Elephas maximus indicus: one gene and its partner. The protein of the gene in region 1 interacts with the protein of each later gene in a pairwise test. Links are inferred from orthologs where the notes say so. Each region holds a gene or a part of one and is shown on either strand. Other genes may lie near its edges.

Evidence for each region.
Region 2: the proteins of PTN (region 1) and DNAJB11 interact in a two-hybrid assay, tested with the Homo sapiens proteins (2 studies listed by BioGRID and IntAct). The link is inferred for Elephas maximus indicus from reciprocal best matches to the Homo sapiens genes PTN and DNAJB11.

The regions. Positions count from the first base shown.
Region 1 is NC_064826.1:12,585,709-12,597,369, forward strand, and holds the start of PTN (pleiotrophin), read left to right. Parts: upstream 1-7,104; 5' UTR 7,105-7,369; intron 7,370-11,661.
Region 2 is NC_064819.1:28,475,291-28,486,774, forward strand, and holds the start of DNAJB11 (dnaJ homolog subfamily B member 11), read right to left. Parts: upstream 5,610-11,484; 5' UTR 5,403-5,609; coding exon 5,335-5,402; intron 2,430-5,334; coding exon 2,273-2,429; intron 1-2,272. UniProt on the Homo sapiens protein: As a co-chaperone for HSPA5 it is required for proper folding, trafficking or degradation of proteins.

The DNA of each region.
Region 1 (11,661 bases):
CCTATCCTATTTTAGAGAGAAGAAAACAAAGGTCAGGTGTCATTAGCGATTTATCCAAGGTCAGAAAACTCACCAGCAGCAGGTTTAGGGAGTCTGACTCTGCTCATTTTTAATCCCACAGCCTCGGGTCTGCATTCCTTCCGAATGACAGGCCTGTGGGATTTTTGAGTGAGCTCTGGGAGAGGTGGCAGGCGGTACAGCTCAGCGTGGAGGGGTCGTCCTGGAAAGATTTCATAGTGTGGTAGAAGCTGCCTGAAGGGGGGCATTAGGTGAAGGTGGTAGACCAGCAAGAACGTACGAGGCCTGAGAAGCAGGTTGTGTACGGGGCACTGGGGAGAGCTCCCCAGCTGCAAAAGAAATAACACACGGGACCTCTAAGAAACAAAGTGCGTTAGTAAAGACCGAATGTTAGGAGACGGCCTTTTAAATCGATTTTACCTGAGGCTCTAAAATTTTAGATTCTTGAATGCAAGACTGATAGGATGACAGGTTCTAATAGATGTTCTATCCTTCAGGCTGTCTCCATGTTATTCCTAAACATTACTTGCATATGTCTGTCTGTTTTCCAAACCCTCCCACATCCCCATCCAAACAAAAACCCGTGGCCGTCAAGTCGATTCTGACTCAACAACCCTATAGGACAGAGCAGAACTGCCCCATAGGGTTTCCGGGGCTGGAGTCTTTATGGAAGCAGACTGTCACATCTTTCTCCTGGCAGGTTCGAACCATGGACCTTTGGGCTGGCAGCCTAGTGCTTTAACCACTGTGCCACCAGGGCAAGACTAACACTTTGCCGCCCAAAAGCAGTCACAGTCACTATGGAGTATCATGTTAACTAGAGACATTCTGTGGGTGTCTCTCATCCGAATGGGGATTTTCCTTTATATTCTTAAATTGCTGAGGACTTTTATCAAGAACAGGTGTTGAATTTTGTCAGCTGTGTTAACTATTGAAGTGTTACTCCTCGTTTCCCATACTTTATTCTGTTAATAAATGTAATATAATCAACTATACTTACTGATTTTCAAATGTGAAACCACACTTGCGTTCCTGGGCTAAACACCATGTATGGAGCAGTGGTTAAGAGCTATGGCTGCTAACCAAAAGGCCAGCAGTTCGAATCTACCAGCCACTCCTAGGAAACCCTATGGGACGGCTCTGTACCATCCTGTAGGGTCACTGTGGGTCGGAATTGACTAGAAAGCAGCAGCTTTGGTTTGGCTTTATCATGATGTACGTGTAGTATACATTGCTGGCTTTGATTTGATAACACTTGTTAAGGACTTTTGTATCCATGTTCATGAGGCATTAAAAACAAACAAACAAACAAACGTTGCCGTTGATTCAGATTCATGGTGACCCCACGTGCATCAGAGTAGAACTACACACCACAGGATTTCCACGGCTGTGAACTTTTGGAAGTAGATCCCTGGGCCTTTCTTCCGAGGGGCTTCTGGGTGGACTTGAAGCATCAACATTTTGATTTGTGGCCAAACACTCCATGGTTTGTACCACCCAGGCAGCCTTCATGAGACCTATTGGTCTGTAATTTTTGTTTCCTTGTAATGTACAATCAGACCTCTTTGGGTAATTTGTGGTTTTCTGGAATGGGTGAGTCTGGGTGAGGCCATGGTTTAAGGCCTGCTCCCCAGCTTTGCTAGTCTATAATGTTGATTTAGCAGCCCTTGGCAGGAAGAACAAGACTGAGGGGCTTAAGTCAAGCTACGTAGATTCATAAGGGGCTGTGCAGACTGAGACAACCCCATGCAGATTTATTAAATTTCAAGGACGAATTGTCGCAGGCACTATTGATTACTTCCAAACCCTTCCCACTCCTTCCTCTTGCCGGCGGAGTCTGTAGCTATGGGACTTGGGAAGCTGGTCTCTTCTCAGCTGCATTTTGGGTTGTGTTTACTTTAAGCTGGAGTCTAACTTTGCTGCAAACAGTTAAACACTCAGCTACTAAGCAAATGGTGGTTCAAAGCCACCCAGAGACACCTTGGAAGAAAGGCCTGGCGATCTATTTCTGAAAGATCACAGCCATTGAAAACCCTGAGGAGTGCAGTTCTGCTCTGAAACACACGGGGACGCCTTGAGTTGGAATCAACTCAATGGCAACTGGTTTGGTTTACTTTAAGTCAGAGGGCAGTGGTGTTCAGTGGCAGAACTCTCCCCTTCCCTGCGAGAGACCCAGGTTTGATTCTTGGCCTGTGCACCTGTCAGTCAGTGGAGGCCTGCGTGTTGCAGGGGTGCTTAACAGCTTTCAGTGGAGCTTCCAGACTAAGAAGGACTAGGAAGAAAGGCCTGATGATCTACTTCCCAAAATCAGCCGATGTGAAAGCCCTGTAGATCGCCAAGGTCCAGCCCTGTCGTGCATGGGTCAACGTGACTCGCTGACTGAGCAGCAACTAACAAGCTACTTTAAGTCAAATATGCTCCAAGTTCCTTCTAACCATCCCGAAGAGCCCTAGCTCACAACTGACAATGCGGAATCAAAACCAGAAAGACCCGGGCCCTTGAAGACTTTAAAACACCGATTGTATCAGGCCGTGTGGCTTGTGACACTAATTCCTAAATTATTATTTAAGCCATTTTTAGTAGAGTTTTCTGGTTTTGGTTATTTATTTTTAATCAAGAAAAAGCACAATCATTCCAAAAATGTGTCTAATGTAGAAGTGGGCTTTGTAATCGTGTCACAGTAATTAAAACAATACAGTAAACATTTTTCATTAGCTTTGAAATATTTCAGAGCGAGAAAGAGGAATGTATTAATGGGATTTTGTTATGGATTGAATTGTGTCCCACAAAAATATATGTTGTAAATCCTAACCTCTGGGGTCCTGGTGGTACAGTGGTTAAGCATTTGGCTGCTAACCAAAATGTTGACAGTTCGAATCCACCAGCTACTCCTTGGAAATCCTATGGGGCAGCTCTACTCTGTCCTACCGGGCGGGTCTCTACGAGTCAGAATTGACTGGAGGGCAATGGGTTTTTTTTGTGTGTGTGATTAAAATCCCATTTGGGAATGGGTTGTCTTTGTTTCGTTAATGAGGTGGGATTAGTGTAGGGTGTATCTTGAGTCGATTTCTTTTGAGATGTAAAAGAGATTAAACAAACAAGCAGAGAGAGAGATGGGATAAGATAGATGCCAGGACACATGTTGATTTCCAAGGAACCAAGAAGCAGAAGCTGAAGAGACAAAGACCTTCCTCCAGAGTTGAGAGAGAGAGAGAAAGCCTCCTTCTAGAGCCACACCCTGAATTCGGACTTCTAGCCTCCTAGACTGTAAGAGAATAAATTTCTGTTAAAGCCATCCACTGTGGTATTTCTGTTTTAGCAGCACTAGATGACTAAGACAGGCTTCTATCAAAATGAGACAGCCTGATGAACTGCCTTTCTGAATCCCAGGGATGCTGAAGAAGAACTCGGAGCGCTAACCAAGAGTCTCATCCTCCTGCCAGGCCATCAATCCAGGAGACATGCTGGCAAATTCTTCATCAGGTCCCTTCCCGTTTCTTAACTTCATGCTGATCACACTTCTCATTGTATTTGTCACGGCAAAATCAGCAGCCTCATTTCCAGCACACTGTTTGGACATGTTATAATTTCTGTGATTTCAGACCATCTGGCGTCAGTCATATTTGAGCCCAGGAAGCCTCATTTGGGCAGGGCCCTTATTAATTGCATCTGGAGAGGCGAGGCATTGGCGGAGAAGCCAAAGCCGTTGCTGACAGGAGCTTTTGGGGCCAGAGAAAGTTAAGGCGCAGTGTGTGGCTAGTCGAAGGTCCCTGGGCGGCACAAATGGTTTAAGCTCAACTACTAACCCAAGGTTGGTGGTTCGAACACACTCAGCTGTGCCAGGGAAGAAAGGCCTCGGAATCTGCTTCTCTAAGGATTACAGGCAAGAAAACCCTACAGAGCAGTTGTACTCTTTAACACTCTGTAACACATGGGCTCATCATGAATCGGAATCAACTTGACAGCAACAGTGTTTGTGTGTGTGTGTGTGTATGTTGTGTGTGTGTAATTAGTCTTCACGAGAAACCAGAAAAAGGGGAAGAAGTGGATTATTGCAGTGGCCTCATAACTGGCATCTCTGTTTCCACCTGGCCCTCATAAGGTCTGTTCTCAATACAGCAGAATGACCTTGTTTTTGTCATGCTTCCCCTCAAATCCCTCCAGAGCCTTCCCAACCCATTCAGAGTAAAAGTACAACTCCCGACAGTGGCCAAAGGCTGTGCGTGCTCTAGCATTACCTTCCTGACATAGCCTCCTACCACACTCCCCACAACCACTCTGTTCCAGCCCCAGTGGCCTTCTTGCTGTTCCCCTCACACACTGGGCAAGGCATGACCACAGGGCCTTTGCACATACTGATCCGTCTGCATGGAGCTGCTCCTCCTGAATACTTGCTGGGCTTACTCCCTCAATTTTAAAGTCTTCATTCAAATGTCACCCTCTTGAGCTTTCCTTTCCCAAATCAGCACTTTATCCTCCTTCGTTGTCTTGTTTTTTCCAAGGCACTCATTATATGTTTCTTCTCTCTCTTTGTTTCTTTCATTAGTTAATTAGTTGTATGAAGCTAGGGATTCTTATCTGTTTTTGTCCATAGCTCTATTCCCAGCACCCAAAGACTTGAAAAGTGCTCCAAGAATGTGGGTTAAATGCGTACAACGGCTTGAAATCTTGAAGCAGCAGAGCCAGGTGCAGTTTGGAACTGAGGCTGAACATCTCAGAGTGCATCAAAAAATACCTTCTACTTACTTTGGTGTAAACCCTGGTTGAATTAAATTATGACTAATTTCAATCTCATAGATTCCTATTAAAAACAACGCTTTCTTTAATCTTCTTTTGTATTTATAAAATAGAGTGGTTCATAGTGTCAGTCAGGGTTTGTCAGTCTTGGTACTATTAACATTTGGACCAAACAGCTCTGTCGCGGGCCTTGCCCTGTGCATTACAGGAGGGTTGGCAGTATCCCTGGCCGCTACTCATCAGGTGCCAGTGGCACACCCTCCCCAAAGCTGTGAAAACCAGAAATGTCCCCGGAGTGCCAAGTGTTCATTGCTCCTGTTTGAGAGCCAGTGATGTAAGTCATGTTCATGTATATGTATTTGAATAAAAGGTTACATTTCTGCTGTAACACGTGTGTTTGAGTAGGAAGCGAGGGAATCTCACGCTCACTTTACCAGTCCTATAGGTGAGATCACAACAAAGCCAGCCTCATTCTGCTGGTAGCAACAGGTTACCTTTAGATAAGGTTTAAGAGGAAAATGGACAACCCTTTGTTAAATGGCTAGGAAACTCCACCCCTATGGAGAGAGAGTAAATGCTGAGAAACCCCTTTCAGTAAATGACCTGGAAAAAATAACCATAATAAAATAATAACTGGAATCCTTCCGTCATTTCCACACAGGAAATCAGACTAAAACAAACATGACTGGCCTCGCTGGGAAAATGGACTCAAAAAAGGGGAACAGGCAACATAAAGATTGTGTGTAGAGGAAGATGGGGGCTCCTTATCTCTGTCTTTCATTTGAAGATGATGTGGGGTGTGTGTATGAAGAATTTGGTTATGGGGACAGACTGGAGGAATGTGAGTGAGTTTCTGACTCCTCTCCTTTAAAGGTGTCCCTGAGTGGTGCAAAGAGCTAATGCACTCAGCTGCTAACTGAAAGGTTGGAGGTTCAAGCACCTTGGAAGAAAAGCCTGGTGATCTATTTCCCAAAGACCACAGCTGCTGGAAACCCTATGGGCACCGTTCTATTCTGACACATATGGGGCTGCCATGCGTTGGAGTCCCCTCCATGGAAGCTGTTCTTTTCTCTCTCCTTAAAAAAATAAAATCATTCATTTCTTCATGCATGCATTCATTCATTCAAAGCTGTACCTATAGAGCCACCTCTTTGTCCCCAGCCAGCTCCTTCATGAGACATTTGTCCAGGCATTCATCATCATGAAAGCCTGGAGTCCCTAAAAACTACTTGCCACAAAATGATCCTTCTAATTTTGGGATTTAGGAATGGTTCTAAGTGTAAACATTAAGAGCTATGGAAAGCGGTTAATGTGTATTTGTCAAGTTGAATGGCGAGGACGCAGTGTCAGAAGTATGAAGAATGGAAGTGTATGTTACAGCCTCGCTTGGGGTGGACACCATCAAATGATAAACTGAGAGGAAGTGAAAAGACCATGACAAGGAGCGGTAACTGATGAGGGGCAGAAAGACTGCCTTTTTTATATTTTGAGGTAAATTTGTCTTACACTTCTTAATCATTTTGCACACTGCTTTTGTCTCCTCCATCTCATAAATATTCATCTATGTGTGACAGAAACACACCCTAGCATCTTTCCTAGAGTGAGTGAAAAGGCAATTCCAGAAAGCCACGAAGCCCAGTCTCCGAGTTTTACAAACCCCGCAGTTGCAACTACATTGCGGAGTCCTCTAAAGTCTTGGGTGTCAAACGCATGTCGCTAAATAGGTCACTAAAAGCACTACAGAAGCCCCAAATGGAAAGAGACCCCCAAGGGAAGTGGCACTTAATTGGGAACTTTCAGACGTCTGTCCCTCTCCGTGACAAGCGCAGAAGCGTACTTTGCGCATGTGTGACATTCGTGTGGGATGAGACGACAGCTAAGTAACCTGGGCTGGTGGAGGAGGGAGCTGAGGGTGGGGAGAGATGGGAGGCTGGGATGAGGACTGTTCGTTTTCACCTCCAACGGCATCTTTGGAAAAATTATCTGGGGTCAAAACTGTAGCTTGAGATGCCGTCCACTGTCCAGTTAAGATCTCCTCCCGGGTAAATTGGGACGTGCACATGCGCTCGTGTAAGGAAGGGAAGACAAATTAAGTTTGGGAAGACATCTGGTGTGCAGTCTCTTGGCTAAAAAAAAAAATTAGAAAAAAACCCCAAGATGCATGAAGTTTGGGAAAGACATCGCGTGTTCAGTCTCTGCTGAAAAAAAAAAAAAAAGACAAAGCCGGATTCCATCTCAGGGCCTCTCGCTCCGAGTGCGCGCGCGTGCTCCCGCGGGGGCCCTGCCCCGGAGGCTCCTGCGGGAACGAGCGCCCCAATCAGCGCGCGGCCCCCGCCCCCGCGCCCGCCCCCGGCTCCGCGCCTCCGCTCCTTCCCGCCCCGCGTCCCCGAGCGCCCGCAGCCTCGGTCCCCGCTTTCCAGCCCGCAGCCTGCCCGGCGGTCCCCGAGCAGAGGCGCGCGCCCAGGTGCGGAGAGAGCTAGGAGGGGACGCGCGGGGAGGCCACCGCGAGGAGGGCGCGCGGCGGAGCGGCAGCAGAGAGCACCTGGGCTCCGAGCGGACTCCGCGCCGTCGTCACCAAGGCAGCTCCGCGCTCCGGTGACCTTTGAAACTCCGAGTAAGTGCAGGGCCGGCGCGCCGCGCCCAGGTGTCTCCATCGGGTCCCCGGCGCCGGGCGCCACCTGACTAGGTGCACCCGAGCGTGGCGCGGGCGTGGGAGAGGGGCTGCCTGGGGTCTTTCTGGAGCGTACTGGGGGAGTCCGTGCGGGGAGTTCGGATGCACAGACCTGAGGGGAGAGAAGACAGCTTTTGTTGTAGGGGAATACACGGGGGCGGCGTCCCCGCCTGCCGCTGGAGGCCACGCCGGCCGGGCTGGAGGGATGGCCGGCTCTTTGTGAAACCTGGGGCGGTTGGAGGTGTGTCTGAGGCTGGGCGGAGGAGAGGAGAAGCCGGGCTCAGCCAGCAGGGCTCCGTTTTCTAATTCCTTTTTTGGCCTCTCTGATGGCCCCAGGGGTTGCCAGTTGATGGCTCTTGGCGGGTTTCTAGGTGAGGTGGGACGGGGGAGGGGGGGCTCCTTGCTTCCACCCGTGGCAGCTGACGCTCCTTGCCCTGCTCGCCCTCCCAGGCAGGTGCTAGAATTGGTTAACTTAAAAGTTGCAAAGAGATCCCCGAATCCCATCTCTCATTTGAAAGCCGATCTTAATAACTGCCTTGTACAAGCGCTTTAACTTTTTATTCCACCCACGTGGAGCTAAAATCCAAAAAAAAAAAAAACCGGTTGCCGTCGAGTAGGACTCATAGCGACCCTACAGGACAGAGTAGAACTGCCCCACAGAGTTTCCAAGGAGGTCTTATGGATTCGAACTGCCGAGCTTTGGGTTAGCAGCCATAGCGCTTAACCACTACGCCACCAGGGTTCCCCACGTGGAACTAGGAGATCTTTATTACTAATTTGCCAGATACTTACAGTTTCTCTCTATATAGGAGTGGAAGGTATTCAGTTCCTTCCCTAGTTAATACACAGAACATAAAACTTCCTTTCTCCTTCACACGCACACACACACACACACACACACACTCTTGTCTTAACACACACACAGTCTGTACATAGATTCTATTGTTCACCTCCCTCTTAACAGCTGCTTTCTAAGTTGGGGGGTACCTTGAGAAAATAGGCGTGGAGGAGGGAGCGAAAGGGGAAAATGACCAAAGTGAGGGAATACCAGAGTGCTAGTCTTGTAACTTATAGCTACTCTGCCCTATAGGGTCGCTATGAGTCGGTATCGACTCGAGGGTACTGGGTTTTTATGGGTTAGTCTTATAGCAGAGCCCTGGTGGCGCAGTGGTTAAGCGTTCGGCTGCTAACCAAAGGGTCGGCAGTTCCAATCCACCAGCCGCTCCTTGGAAACCCTATAAGGTCGCTATGAGTCGGAATGCACTCCACGGCAGCAGGTTTGGGTTTGTTTTCGCTTAGTCTTCCAGCTACTAGCATCTCTCATCTGAAAGGTTCTCTCGGCAATTCACATTAACAGCTTGAGAAAAGGTGGGTGGGGTGTGTGTGTGTCTGTCCCCATCCGTGCCGAGGAGAGCTTTTAAGCTAATAAACATGGGGAAAGCAATTCCGTGATCCCAGCCAAACATGGAATTGATGAAACAGGAGAACCCGCTTTTGCCCCTGGTCATCAAAAAAAAAAAAAAAAAAAGGATGAAAATTCATATTGAGTTATGAGTTGCTATTGATTTTGATAGAAATGTGAAGCGGTGATGGGAGGGAAACAAAAGGAAAGAGCCTCCTGGCGTAGAGCTGAAAGCTTTTATTTCCCGTCTGCGGTCTGTGCCTATTTAAGAAAAGTATACATTTTAAAGCCCACATTGTTACACACGTTTGTAGTTAAACTCAGAGGAACATGGAGCCCACATGATCTTTTTTCCCCTGCCTTGGGCATACTTTTTGTCTCCCTGTAGCAACATCTATACTTTCACATTTAAATTAGAGGACGACATAGTTTGTAACTTTATTAAGAAGAAGAAAAATCAAACCAAATCAGGACAAAAGCCAACTAGTGCTGTTCTTCTGGGAACGTTTGGTCTCTAAGTTCTCTAGTTGTAGTTTAAACCTTTGGAAAGCTACACTTGCCCTCCGCTGCTGCTCACAGACCACTCTAGAATGTTCTTTCTCATTTAGTGAAAGGCCTGTATGTGGAATACCCTTCTGAAGCCTTACATAACCACGTGGTTTGCTGTGTTCCTGCTGTTTGCCTGTGGTTACAAATGTGGTCTAGTTTAGAAGCTAGATCTGTAGAAGAAATGAAACCACTATTATTGTGTGAGTGTTTATTAACTGACTTTAAAATGAGGTATTATAGAGATGAGGCTAGTGCAAATTCTGTGGCTTCTTAGATCTCTCCATGCGACTTGGGTTACTAACTTATTGAAAGTTGACATGTTCTTTATGTGGTCCTCACATTTAACAACATGTCAGCAATACTCATGTAATTTTTTTTTTTTTAAATGGGGTATTTTTATTCCATAACACCAATCGCTTGGTTGAGTTTTCACAAAACCTGATCATTGGAAATAACCTGTAAGAAATAAGGTCTCCGAATATTTTGATCCCTTTCATAAAAAAAAAAAAAAAATCTTAGAAATTAAATATGTTAAATTAAAATGCTTTTCCTCTTTGATGGGGCTGTTGTCTTCTCATTTAACTGACATTCTCGCGTGAATTCACAAAGTATTCCTATTTTTGATGTTCTGTTCCTCATCAAATTTTTCCTAGAAAACTGAACGTAGCTGGTTTGTTCAAAATGGTGTAATAAGTTAACAGTCCTTTGAGGGTCGCAATTCAGAATATAAATTCCAGGTCTCTATACATTTGTTGATAGGTGCCATCTAGTGGACCTAGTGACCCCATATGACAAAGTAGAACTGCCCTATAGGGTTTTCTAGGCTTCTTTAAGGGAGCAGATGGCCAGGTCTTTTCTCTTGTGGAGCAGCTGCGTGGGTTTGAACCACTGACCTTTCGGTTAGCAGCGGAGTGCTTAACCCTTGTGTTAAACATTGCCTGGCCAGGCCTTCTTTGTACACACTTATGCCCCTTGCTTCTTAAAATGGTGGCATGGTGTTAAATCGCCTTTGACTTCTCTCCTGAAGGTAGTGTCCACACTGAGACCAGCCTGGGTGAACGAAGACAAATGGGCTCTACTTCTGGATGGCCAGAGAGCAAACACAAAACCAAACAAAAAACCAAACCCGAACAAACCCATTGCCCTCAAGCCTATTCCGACTTACAGCAACCCTGTAGGACAGAGTAGAACCGCCTCATACAGCTTTGGCGGTGATGCCTGGGGTCGGGGTGGGGGAGGGCTCCTCTTTAAGGGTGAGGGATAATTTCTCCCCAGGCTGCTGCTTTAGGGAGTAATCAGAGGCACTTCGAGCTTTGGTTTCCTGTTGGCCCAAGGCCACATTGTTGCCCTGGGGTAAAATAATATTCACAAATGGACCTTCTTTTCTTTGGAGCCTGACCTGCTTTTTCCCATCCAGAATCAATTGGCTTGAAGGGGATTCGGCCCATGGCCTCGCTTTTGAAAGTTGCTCTCCATTCTTGATGTTTATGACCAATTCAAGCTCGCACCCGCCGGGTCATTTTTACATCCGCTTAATGCCAGTCTTGTATGTGGCATGGTTTCCACGGTGTCATTACAGTCTTAACCAGGTCGTATAATGTAGCAAGCTTTTTTTTTTCCTGCAAACCAAAAGGTCCGCAGTTCAAATCTATCAGCTGCTCCTTGGAAACCCTATAGGGCAGTTCTACTCTGTCCTGTAGGGTTGCTGTGAGTAGGAATCAACTCGAAGGCAACGGTTTTTGATTTATTTAGTACATAATAAATAGAAGTTAAAGATTCTGTGGTTTAAAAGGGTAGCTGTAACAAAACAGTATCAAAGAGCATTATTACTATGCTAATTTTTTAATATTGAGGGTTCGATTATATAGAGCACATTCATCACAAATGCCTATTTAAGGACTAGGCAAGGAATACAGTGAATAGGTCGTGCTTCAGATAATTTTAGAAATACTTCTTAATTTCTTCTACTGGGCGCCACTTGTTGAGCCATTTCTTCACATTGGGTTTAAAGTGACATTTCAGATTAAAAGATAATTGAAATGAGTTTCCTAAAAACAGAATTCTTAAAGATTCCTAAACTTCATAAAACAAACAACAAACAAAAAATCATATATAGTAAAAAAAAAAAAAAGAAAAGAAAAAGAAAAATTCTTTGTGGAATTATATTAGTCTTGAAAGAAGCGAGTCGTTGTAATTGACACTTGGGCTCCTAATCCTAAGAACTGCTCTTAATAAGCACCAAAACATCATTTCAAAACGCTGATAGCACGCTGCGCCTCCAACC
Region 2 (11,484 bases), on another chromosome or scaffold:
AAAAAAAGGAGGAGGAGGGGTTTCTTAGTTGATTTTGGCCAAACAACCCAGGGTCTCCACTAATTAAAATGCCAGCAGTAATCCCAGCTCAGTAGAGAAGACCAATTTGTATTCACAAAAGAGCCCTTCATGCAGTGCTGGGATTCTGATTTGTGAACACCACTTCACCCAAGGACCAAGGGCAGTCGGGCTTGACAGTTACAAAGAACGATGCAAAGTTCAACTTGTGACTAGCAAGTTTTTCATAGTTTCACAAACTGCAGTCTCATGAATTATCTATCCTGCCTAGGGCTCAGATAAAGAACGTGACAGATTCTTTAAAGGGCATGGTAAATTCTTACCAACAGTTTCCTAAAACCCAGTGCCATTGAGTCAATTTTGACTCATAGCGACCCTATAGGACAGAGTAGAACTGGCCCATACAGTTTCCTAGAAAATATTTTTGACTACTGGGTTCCTAGCAAATAATGGGACTGTTCATGGGAAATATATGCAAAATATGGAATCTGGTGTATTATCAAAAATATACAAAGTGTTACCCGCAATTTTTGAGGGTCTACCAGCTCTCTCAAATTCATGGGCCCCAGGTTAAGAATTTCTGTCCTACAGGCTCCCTAAACGTATGAAGGAAATAAATGGGGAGTCCACTGGCTCTAGGTTTCACACAGATATTAGTCACTCAATCCCATAGTGTCTTTAATCGGGGCGGTGTGGGGCAGGAGGGGGGAACTTTGAGATGCCTTCCTTCTGGGTTCTTTCCACTAAAATATTTTTCAGATTTGTTCTCAGCGTCTTTACTACACAGCAATTTAATCTGAATGCAGGAGTTTTACCTCTATGATTTTTGGAGTTAAAATATTTTTTCCCTGAGGGACCAAATTGCTGGGCTGAGGGCTGTGGGGACCATGGTCTCAGGGAACACCTAGCTCAACTGGCATAACAGAGTTTATAAAGAAAATGTTCTACATTCTACTTTGGGGAGTAGCGTGTGGGGTCTTAAAAGCCTGTGAGTGGCCATCTACGGTACAATTCTGGTCTCACCCCTTCAGGAGCAAGGAAGAATGAAAAAAACTAAAGATACAAGGGAAAGATTAGTCCAAAGGACTAATGGATCACAACTACCACTGCCTCCACCAGACTGAGTCCAGTACAACTAGATGGTGCCTGGCTACCACCACTGACTGCTCTGACAGGGATCACAGTAGAGGGTCCTGGACAGAGCTGGAGGAAAATGTAGAACAAAATTCTAACTCACAAAAAAAACACCAGACTTACTGGTCTGATAGGGACCAGAGAAACACCAAGAATATGGCCCCCAGACACCCTTTTGGCTCAGAACATCACTTGAGGTTCACCCTTCAGCCAAAGAGTAGACAGGCCCATAAAACAAAACAAGACTAAAGGGGCACACCAGCCCAGGGGCAAGGACTAGAAGGTGGGAGGGAACAGGAAAGCTGGTAAAAGGGAACCCAATGTCAAGAAGGGAGAATACTGACATGTCGTGGGGTTGTTAACCAGTGTTATAGAACAATATGTATACTATTTAATGAGAAACTAGTTTGTTCTATAGACCTTCATCTGAAGTACAATAAAAGAAAAAAAAATATATTTTTTCTGTGCCCTTTTAAAAAATGGGAAGAAAAATATGCCTTGCTCTATTTCATAGTGTCCCAGTGACAATTAAATGAGACAATATGCATGAAAGTGTTGTGACTTCTAGATTAGAGGTTACAGTTAATACAGTGTTTGCATTTCCATATGGCCAACATCTAGCTAGGTAACAGCCGCTGCCTTGTAATGGGGCAGGAAGCTCTAGTTTGTAACACTCCTCACCATTCCGTATTGCTCCCCATTATGGCAGCAGAGTATCCCTTGTCTTGTTGTATCTTATACCTGCCCTGCACGTTATTTGTCTGGTCCCTGTGGGTGTGTGGATTTGCACTTAGACTTTGTATTTCTGGCTCCAGCTCGCAAACTGATTGGTTGATTATAGATGACCAATCTACTCATTAGTCTACTAATCGTACCTTCTCTCATTCATATCTTTTTAACATTACTCTCCTTAATAAAAGAAACACTAGTATGGAAGAAGGAAGGAAACGTCTATTAACATGAATGTGAGATCTACTACAATATGGTTAAGTATGACTTTTACTTTTATCTACTGTCTGGTTTTAAATAGAAGTGACCTGAAAGAAGAAAGTTTCTAGGCTACATGGTCTGTTCTGTATCTGTAGGTTTTATTCATACTTTATCCTTTTTCCTGACTTACCTCATAAGCAGCACCCAGATCCTGGAACTTCTCCTGAGCTCGCGGGTCATCGGGGTTCCGGTCAGGATGAAGCTGCAGGGCTAGTTTCCTATAGGCTTTTTTAATGTCCTTTATAGAGGCACTTCGAGGCACCCCCAAGATCTTATAGAAATCTCGCCTGGTGGGGATGGGGGAAGAAGACATCATTAGAGAGTTGTATATTACATTTTATAAAAGTGAGGTTTTTTGCATTTACATTTAGGTTTGTGTTTGAGCAAAGGGTTAGGAAAATGAAGATATACATATGATGCAAAAAGAAAAAAAAATGACTAGAAAGAAACACCAGTCCTATATATTAATCGCAATGAGAGGCTATGTACATTTTGAGCAATGCTAGAATTATTCAAAACATCTGTGGCACTTTTCTTTTAGAACTACCTTCAGTCAAAAAAAAAAAAAAACTCTTATTTTATGGTCACAGGTTATTTTCAGCCAATTAACTGTATCATGAAAGAAACTCTCCTCTTTATTTCCCTGTATCGACTCCAAATGACTTCTGACAATTTCCAAAAGTCAAATAACAACCTCAAAGGATTATTTTCCATACTCAAAAAGATTGTTACATTAATGTTTTCATTAACAGTGGAACTACTGGAATGTTAAAGATGAAGTGACTAAAGCTCATTTCAGAGGTTAACACAGAGTTTAAACCAAAGCACACATGACAAACCTGAAGAGAAAAGAACATCCATTTGGATGTATAAATTGTGGTGTGTTTGCTGAAAGAGAAAGCCAGAAGAAATATCAATCTTCTTGTTATGCTAGTTTGTCTAGGTCAAGTCTTAGTTAAAGACAGCTGCTGAAGCCCGTATGCAGAAGCCTGTATGTCTCAGCAGCCATGGGTATGCATATGGCATATGCTGGGAGGTGACACAGAGATCCACTGACCTCCTTTCCATGAACTATGCTGGAACCCAATTAATCTTAATGGGGATCTTTGCAAGAAGGGCCAATGGGAAGGTAGAATAAGACTATTAAAACTTTCAGGATAGGGATGGTATTTGGCTCATAGAAGAAACCAATACATATTCATTGAATGAAATGAATAAAAAAGAACGTTCGCAAGAAAAAAACCTATGCATTCCTTTCACCACCTTAAGTTATTCTGAAAATGCTTTCTCAACAATGAGGCTGGGAAAGTTGTTCACAATAGTGACACTGATGTAGCAGTGAAGGTAAAAATATATTGGAGTACCAAAATGCAAGTCATATAGGACAAAATATTAAAAAATATAAGTTTCATAAGCCCTTAGTCCCAGTTTAGGAAAAAAATCACTTGACCATTTCATGTAATTTTTTTTTTTTTTTTTTAATTATCACCCACAAGTGGTTCCATGAGAATTAGGTGTCTTCTGCTCCCCCCAAAACGTGTAAAATCTTGACATCTCTTATGATAAGAACTAAATAAATCAAAAGGATTGCTATAATTAATAACTAGAGGTCTAAATCTATAAAGAATGATGCTTCCTTGGAATATACTTAATATAAAAAGGAAGAGAAACAATGGCTAGTATAGCTAGCTCACCATCAACATTACCGTTCCCAAGAGGCTCCTTTATGAATGAAGTTCAAAGCTACAGTATTAACAACATTTATATCAACATTTTATTTAAACACCTTAGGGTTCTTGTTGGAGCCCTGGTGGCACAGTGGTTAAACTCAGGCTGCTAACCAAAAGGTCGGCAGTTCTAATCCAGCAGCCACTCCTTGCAAACCCTATGGGGCAGTTCTACTCTGTCCTATAGGGTTGCTATGAGTCAGAAGTGACTCGACAACAACGGGTTTGGGTTTTTTTTGTTTTTTTTTTTAGGGTATTTGTTGCTTTAAGTGTTAAAAGAACTACCAAAAACATGCCGAGAAAAAACAATAAAAGCATTACCTAGGATAAGTAAATATTTTTGACATTTAGTGTTTCACAAAGTAACAAAACGGTAAGCATAAATGCACATTTAAAAAAAAACTTAAGAAAATAAGAAGCACATAGATTTTAAAGCTCTGCTAAATACTATCGCCCCTATTAGAACAATGTATAAACTGTCAGAAGCTAAGATCCTACTAATCCCTGGCATAAACATCCTGTGGTCACCAGACTTAGAGAATCATGCATCTTAAAGACAGGAAGGATCCTCAAGAGTTCATCTGGTCCTACTCCCTTCATACAGGTGGCACATTATCCTCGTGTTACAAATGAGAATTTATACAGGTTCCTTCAAAGTCACATAATTCATAAGTGGGGTGGGGTTTGCAGGCTAGAATCCCAGTCAGGTACCAGTTGGTGAACTGCTTCTCTCGCTCATAATGTCATTCAGCTTCTCAAGAAGGTACCATTGAGAGAGACAGTGACACACAATCACAGCTTAGGCTCAATACTCCAGGAAGCTGGGAAGACTCTCCAAACGGTCTGCCTTGCTCCTCAATTAATTTTCTTCAGTCCCAGCATGGCCTCCCTACCTCTCCCCTCACTTCGTCACTCAGCCTGCTATCATAACCCACCCACTTTAATATCAGCGCCCCAATGGCTCGTCGCAGGCACAGCATCGCATCGTCCTCTTCTCCAGCCCAGCAGGCACAACAACCCACCTCTCTGACCAAAGACCTGCCCAGGCCCCTCAACCTCAGCCTGCCGCTGTCACTCCTTCATTATAGCCAGGGGCTCCGTCCCTCTCCCACCTTTGCGTGACACTGCTTCCGCTCACAAATCACTTGCTTCGCTTCAAATACGCTCCTCCTCCCCCCGCCAATGCTGTTTGGCACTGCATCCAACTCCTACATCCCTGGGCTAATTTAGGTCTTCGGGGCCTCTGGATCTAAGTCCTTCTCACTCGTGTTACCCACGGCTCTCCTCTCCACCCCAAGAGCCTGGCCTGCACTATCCATTCCTCCTCCCCACCGCCTCACCACGGCACTGCCCCTCTCCACTCCCTCAGCCCAGCAATGCTCCGCCCCCCATCTGCCCCCGGCCGCCCTCCTCCCCAGCAAAAGCTGGTTCACGGGCCCCGTGCCCGCGGGGGCCTGGCCCTCACCCGGCGATCACGGCCCCGATGAGGTACAGCAGCAGCAGGCAGAAGGTGCCCAGGTTCTGCGGGGCCATGCTTCCTCCGTCCCGGACCCTCGCCCACGCTCTCCTCACAGCCGCCTCAGCAGGCGCGTTGGCTAGCCAGTCCACCCGGCCCTGTAAGGCCGCTTCGCGCCGGGGGTCTCCTACTCGGTCCGCAGCGACAGGTAACTTGCCCCCTTCCTCTGCCAGTCCACTTCCCGGGGATCCAGTCCGGTGAGAGAAGCCACAGCCGGCGACGGCCAATAGCTGCTTGGGACATCACACGCTGCCGGCGCCTCGGAGCCAATTAACGCGGTACACTTCACCTCCGAGGCGGCGCGGACGGCCAATTAGGTCTCAGAACTGCAGCCGCAGCTCGCGACCAATTACAAGAGGAAACGTCAGAAGGTGGCGCCGCCGCAGGAATCCTCTCAGCTCCAGCTCCAGCAAGTCATAGAAAATTACGTAAGAGAAAGGTGGGGCCAAACGGGGGTACCAGAGGTAGGTTTCCCCTCGCCCGCCTCCTCGGACTCTTCACCAATCAGAAGGAGCCTCCTCCGGCTCCAGCCAATTGCGGGAAGGAGACTTTATCTTGGTTACAAGTCTCGGAATTTCATTCACGGTGAAGTGCTTGCTGGATGCGGGGGCGGGGCGACCTAGGCGAAATGGGCGGGGACGAGAATTCCCGGCCAACGGTACAACGGATACGTTGTTTAGATCTTATTTTAAATTCTCTTAACAGCCCTACGAGGAGGTTGTCCGCGTTTTAGAGAAGAGGTCGTGGTGCCTAAGGTGAATATTTTTGGTAGAGGCAGACAGACTTAGGTTTGAATGAGGCTCCCACCACTTCTTAGCGGTAAGACTTTGCACAAGTCTGAGCTGCTTGATTATATTAACAAAATTGGGGCAAAGCCCCCAGTGACAGTGTTGCTGTGAATTTTAATGGGAGAAAATCTTTAAGTCGTTTAGCACAGGTTCTGGCACATAGTAAGCACGCAATGAATAATAACTATTATTACCGTTATGACCAGAACTCTGCCCCAATCTAGTCTTGCTCATCTCAGGAAACTCACCAAGTTTAGAACAAAACTCCAGGTGTCTTCCTTGTCCTAGTATTAACACTAGAGTGACGCTCCGCTAGAAATTATAACAATTTTATTGAAGGAAAAAGACAAGATAATTTCGCGAAATGGAGAATCCCACGGGCACTCAAACAACAGGCAGCATGTGTTCTGGCTTGTGAGGACAGCAGTGAGGTATTTATCAGGCAGAACAAACAGGCAAGTGGTTTTATATCCAAGGGGATGCAGGATAAGGAAGGACAAATTTACAAGGGGTTGTCAAACTACAAACTTTCCTAACTTCGATTTCTAGCCTAACATCAGTCTCTTACTTCCCATTACAAGTTGACTAAAACAATATTTTTAAAGCAAGCTGTGTAAGCATTCCTGATGAGGGGGTTTAGTGATTGATTGTACACTGGCTCAACCTTAGTTGGAGTCCTTGAAATATAAAAGTCGACCATTTGGTTAAAAAACCCAACCCAGTGCCATCGAGTTGATTCAGACCATTTGGTTAGGAAGATGAAATCAACTCCAATGTGAAGCCTCTCGAAATGTAAACACTGCCAATCTGGCTGAGAGGAAGTGAGTTAGGGCCTAGGCATACACTGGATTAACTCTCTGAGAGCAGTTAAGATAGCAGGATTATTTACGTAAGTTCTACTCTTTGTGTCATAAGCAATTAAAACTTTCACAGGAAGCCAACTTGTCTTTTGTAGACGGCAAGGGCAAGCTTCAAACGTAGTTGCAACTTCATCTAAAACAGAATTTCACTTTGGGTCTGGGATTAACCATTTCAATCATGCCAAGCAGCCCCAATTTTAGGGTTTGTTTATTCATCCTCCTAACTGTATCCTGAATATGTCCACTGCTCAACATCTCCACTACTACCTCTGGGCCAGGTCACCATCTCTCACCTGGCAAGGGCTCCTCAGTGGTCTCTCTGCCTCCACTCTTAATGTCCTACCATCCATTGTTCACTCCTGTCCTTCTCTCCCATGATTTAAAACATTAAATTATGTCGCTCCTGCTTAAAAGCCCCAGATGGCTTTTCATTGCACTGAGAATACAGTCCTAACTCTTTAGGTGACATGATCTGTACCCTCACCTAGTATACTCCGTATCACGTTCCAGCAAACCTGGCTTCCTCTTTTTTGAATACACCAAGCTCATTCCATCCTAGGGCCTTTGTATTAGCTGTTCCCTCCACCTGCAACACTCTTCCCTCAGATCTTAATATGGGTGACTCCTTTTTAAACTCAGATATTAGGAAACCCTGGTGGCGTAGTGGTTAAGTGCTACGGCTGCTAACCAAAGGGTCGGCAGTTCGAATCCGCCAGGCACTCCTTGGAAACTATGGGGCAGTCCTACTCTGTCCATAGGGTTGCTATGAGTCAGAATTGACTCGACGGCACTGGGTTTGGTTTTTTTTGGTTTGGTATGAGTTTAAATGCCAACACTTCAGAGAGGACTTCCCTGACCAACCAATTCAAATTAGCCCCCACTGAGTCCCTTATTCTTACGCCACCCTATTTTATTGTTTCCAACCCTACCCCCCCCCCCCACCCCCTTGTACTCACACACTGAGATGTCTGTTCCCGGAGATCATGAATCTGGTCTGTTACATTCACAGCTGTATCCCCAGCATCTTAGAACAGCTCCTAGCATAGGGTAGGAGATAAAAATTTTTTGAGTAAATGAATAGTTGTTTTGACTGTGATCTTCATGTGGCTGGCTTTTTATTCTTTGAACCTCAGCTCAAATATGCACACCACAAAGTGGCCTTCCCTGTCCCCTTCCTCCATCTCTTCATAGCACTTAGCACTATAAAAAATTATCCTATTTTATTTATCATGTATTGTCCAAAAGGTCAGCAGTTTTAATCCACCAGCTGCACCTTGGAAACCCTATGAGGCAGTTCTTCTCTGTCCTACAGGGTCACTATGAGTTAGAATCAACTCGATGGCACACAACAACAACAACAACATTCTCCCTATTAAAATATACACTCCAAGAAAGCAGGGACCTTGTCTGTTTTGTTCACTGCTGTAATCCTAGTGCCTAGTACTTTGCCAGGCACACAGTGGTGCTCAATACAAAATAATTGCTGTTGCAGAGAACTGAGGCACGGATAGGTGATGGAATTTGCCCAAGGTCACTGAGCTAGTTAACTGGTGCAGAATGGATCCTAATCCGGGTCTATTTGAATCCAAATCCCCTGCTTTTTGCATCTTGACTCTTGTAGAGTTAAGGGGAAGACAAGATTGCTGATTTCAGGAAATGCTTATTAGGGGAGAGAGGCCATGCAAAAGAGGAACTAAATTACATCGTATTATCTTATTTATCTTTGTATACCCCACAAGTACAGAGGCCATAAACAAACAAAGAAAGCAGGAAATGGCCAGAAATCATAAAATGGAGGTTCAGAGAAAGGAGTGACATATTCTGAGTGGAATCCAAAAAAGCTTCATGAAGGAGGCAACATGGCATAGCCTCGTCTGAAGCTAACAGAATTAAGGCAGTAACGCAGGGGCCTCTCCCTTCGGACTGCCTAGGTTTGAATCTTGACTCCATCTTTTATTGTGTGACCTTAAGGGTATGTTATATCGGATCATAAAAAACTGTGGATAACATTGCGAAGAATGGGAATTTCAAAACACTTTATCGTGCTCATGAGGATCCCTCTCTCCCATGATTTAAAACATTAAATTAGACCAAGAGGCAGTGATTCGAAGAGAACAAGGGGAAACTGCATGGTTTAAAGTCAGGAAAGGTGTGCATCTGCATTGTATCCCTTCACTGTACTTATCCAACCTGTATGCTGAGCAGATAATCTAAGAAGCTGGACTATATGAAGAACGGGGCATAGGGATTGGAGGAAGACTCATTAACAACCTGCAGTATGCAGATGACACAACCTTGCTTACTGAAAGTGAAGAGGACTTGAAGTACTTACTGACAAAGACCAAAGGCTGCAGCCTTCAGTATGGATTACATCTCAACATAAAGAAAACAAAAATCCTCACAACTGAACCAATAAGCAATATCATGATAAAAGAAGAAAAAATTGAAGCTGTCAAGGATTTTGTATGACTTGGATCCACAATCAATACCCATGGAAGCAGCAGTCAGGAAATCAAATGACACATTGCATTGGGCAAATCTGCTGCAAAAGACCTCTTTATAGTGTTGAAAAGCAAGGATGTCATTTTGAGGACTACAGTGCACCTGACCCAATCCATGGTATTTTCAGTTGCCTCATATGCATGTGAAAGCTGGACAATAAGGAAGACTGAAGAAAAATTGATGCCTTTGGATTATGGTGTTGGTGAAGAATATTGAATATACCATGGACTGTCAGAAGAACAAACAAATATGTCTTGGAAGAAGTACAGCCAGATGTCCCTTAGAAGCAAGGATGGCAAGACTTCCTCTCACGTACTTTGGACATGTTATCAGGAGGGACCAGTCTCTGAAGAACAACATGCTTGGTAAAGTGGAAGATCAGCAAAAAAAAGGAAGAGCCTCACCGAGATGGATTGACACAGTGGCTGCAGCAATGGGCTCAAGCTTCACAAGGATTGTCAGGATGGCAGAGGACAAGGCTGTGTTTTGTTGTGTTATACCTACGGTCACTATGAGTTGCACGCGACTCGCTACCGCCGAACAATACAGGTACGAGTTTCCTCATCAGTCAAACAAATGAACTTGACTTAGAGGACTCTTGGGAAGACTAAGATAATACACATGAAGGTGTTTTACACAGCTGCCACGGTAAGTGCTCATGTAAACTGCCATAATTATTACTACAGATCAAAGCGTGCTGACCTTGCAACAGCAGCTCTTGGCCAACTACCTTTCTGCGGAGCAATAGAAAACTTCCTACTCCCTTAGGTTGGAGCCCTGGTTGCGCAGTGGTTAAAGCGCTCGGCTGCGAACTGGAAGGTCGTGGGTTCGGACCCACTGGACCCACCAGCCACTCCGGGGGAGAAAGATGTGGCAGTCAGCTTCTGTGAAGATTTATAGCCTTGGAAACCCTATGGGGCGGTTCTGCTATGCATCAGTAACAACTGGACGGCAGCAGTTTTGCTTTTTGGTAGGTTGAAAGGCGAGACACCAGAAAGGAGTCCAGTCCGGCCCCAGGTCCCAGCGTGGTGGCCTAAGCCAAGTTTCTCTCAGAGTGACTGGAAAAGCAGCCGGCCGCTCTGGCAACGCCGTCCGCCTGTTCTCGGTGGTACAAGGGCTCGCGCTTGCGCTGTGTTTGGCGGCGGTGCGCGGCAGAGGGCGAGGGGCGGGCGGGCGAGCGCGACGTGGGGCGCGGCGGCGCGTGGAGAGGCCGGCGGAGCGCTGCCTGCCTTCGCAGGTAACCGCGCGTGGGCTGGCGCCAGGGCTGGAGGGATGGGCCGGTGGAGCTCCGGGCTGGGGTCGGGTAGGCTGCCTTCCCGCTGGCCAGGCCTCGGGTCCCCTGCGGACCCTGTCAGCGGGGGCTTCCGGTCGCGGAAGCCGGTCGTGTCGCTTGGGGAGCTCAGGTGAAGCCTCAGGGGGGCCGCCGTGGGCCTCACGCCCATCTCCCCGCCTGAAAGATCTTAAGGTGCCCCAGCGCCCCGGGGGAGTTTCTGAAGAGAGAAAGAGCCCAGCTTGTGTTTGTTTACATATTTGGTCCTCTCGAGTCCCGCAGGTAGAAGGGACCTTACAGGGTACATCTCCACGACCTGGCTATTTAGGGACAGGAACCCAGTACCTCAGCAAACCAAAACAACCTGTTGCCGTCGAGTCGATTCTGACTCACAGCGACCCTACAGGGAAGAGTACAACTGCCCCATAGGGTTTCCAAGGAGCGCCCAGGGGATTCCAACTAGCAGACCTTTTGGTTAGCAGCCGAGCTCTTAACCACTGCGCCATCACGGTTTCCCAGTACCTCACAGAGCAGCCTGTGTCCATTTGGGGGCGAACTAAGATCTTACTCACGTCACTTTCGTCGTCTAGTTTTACTCAGAGCGACGCTAAACCATACCCATATTCAAAAATAGCTGTCATTTACCGATCCTCACCCTTCCTTCTTTGGGGCGCACACT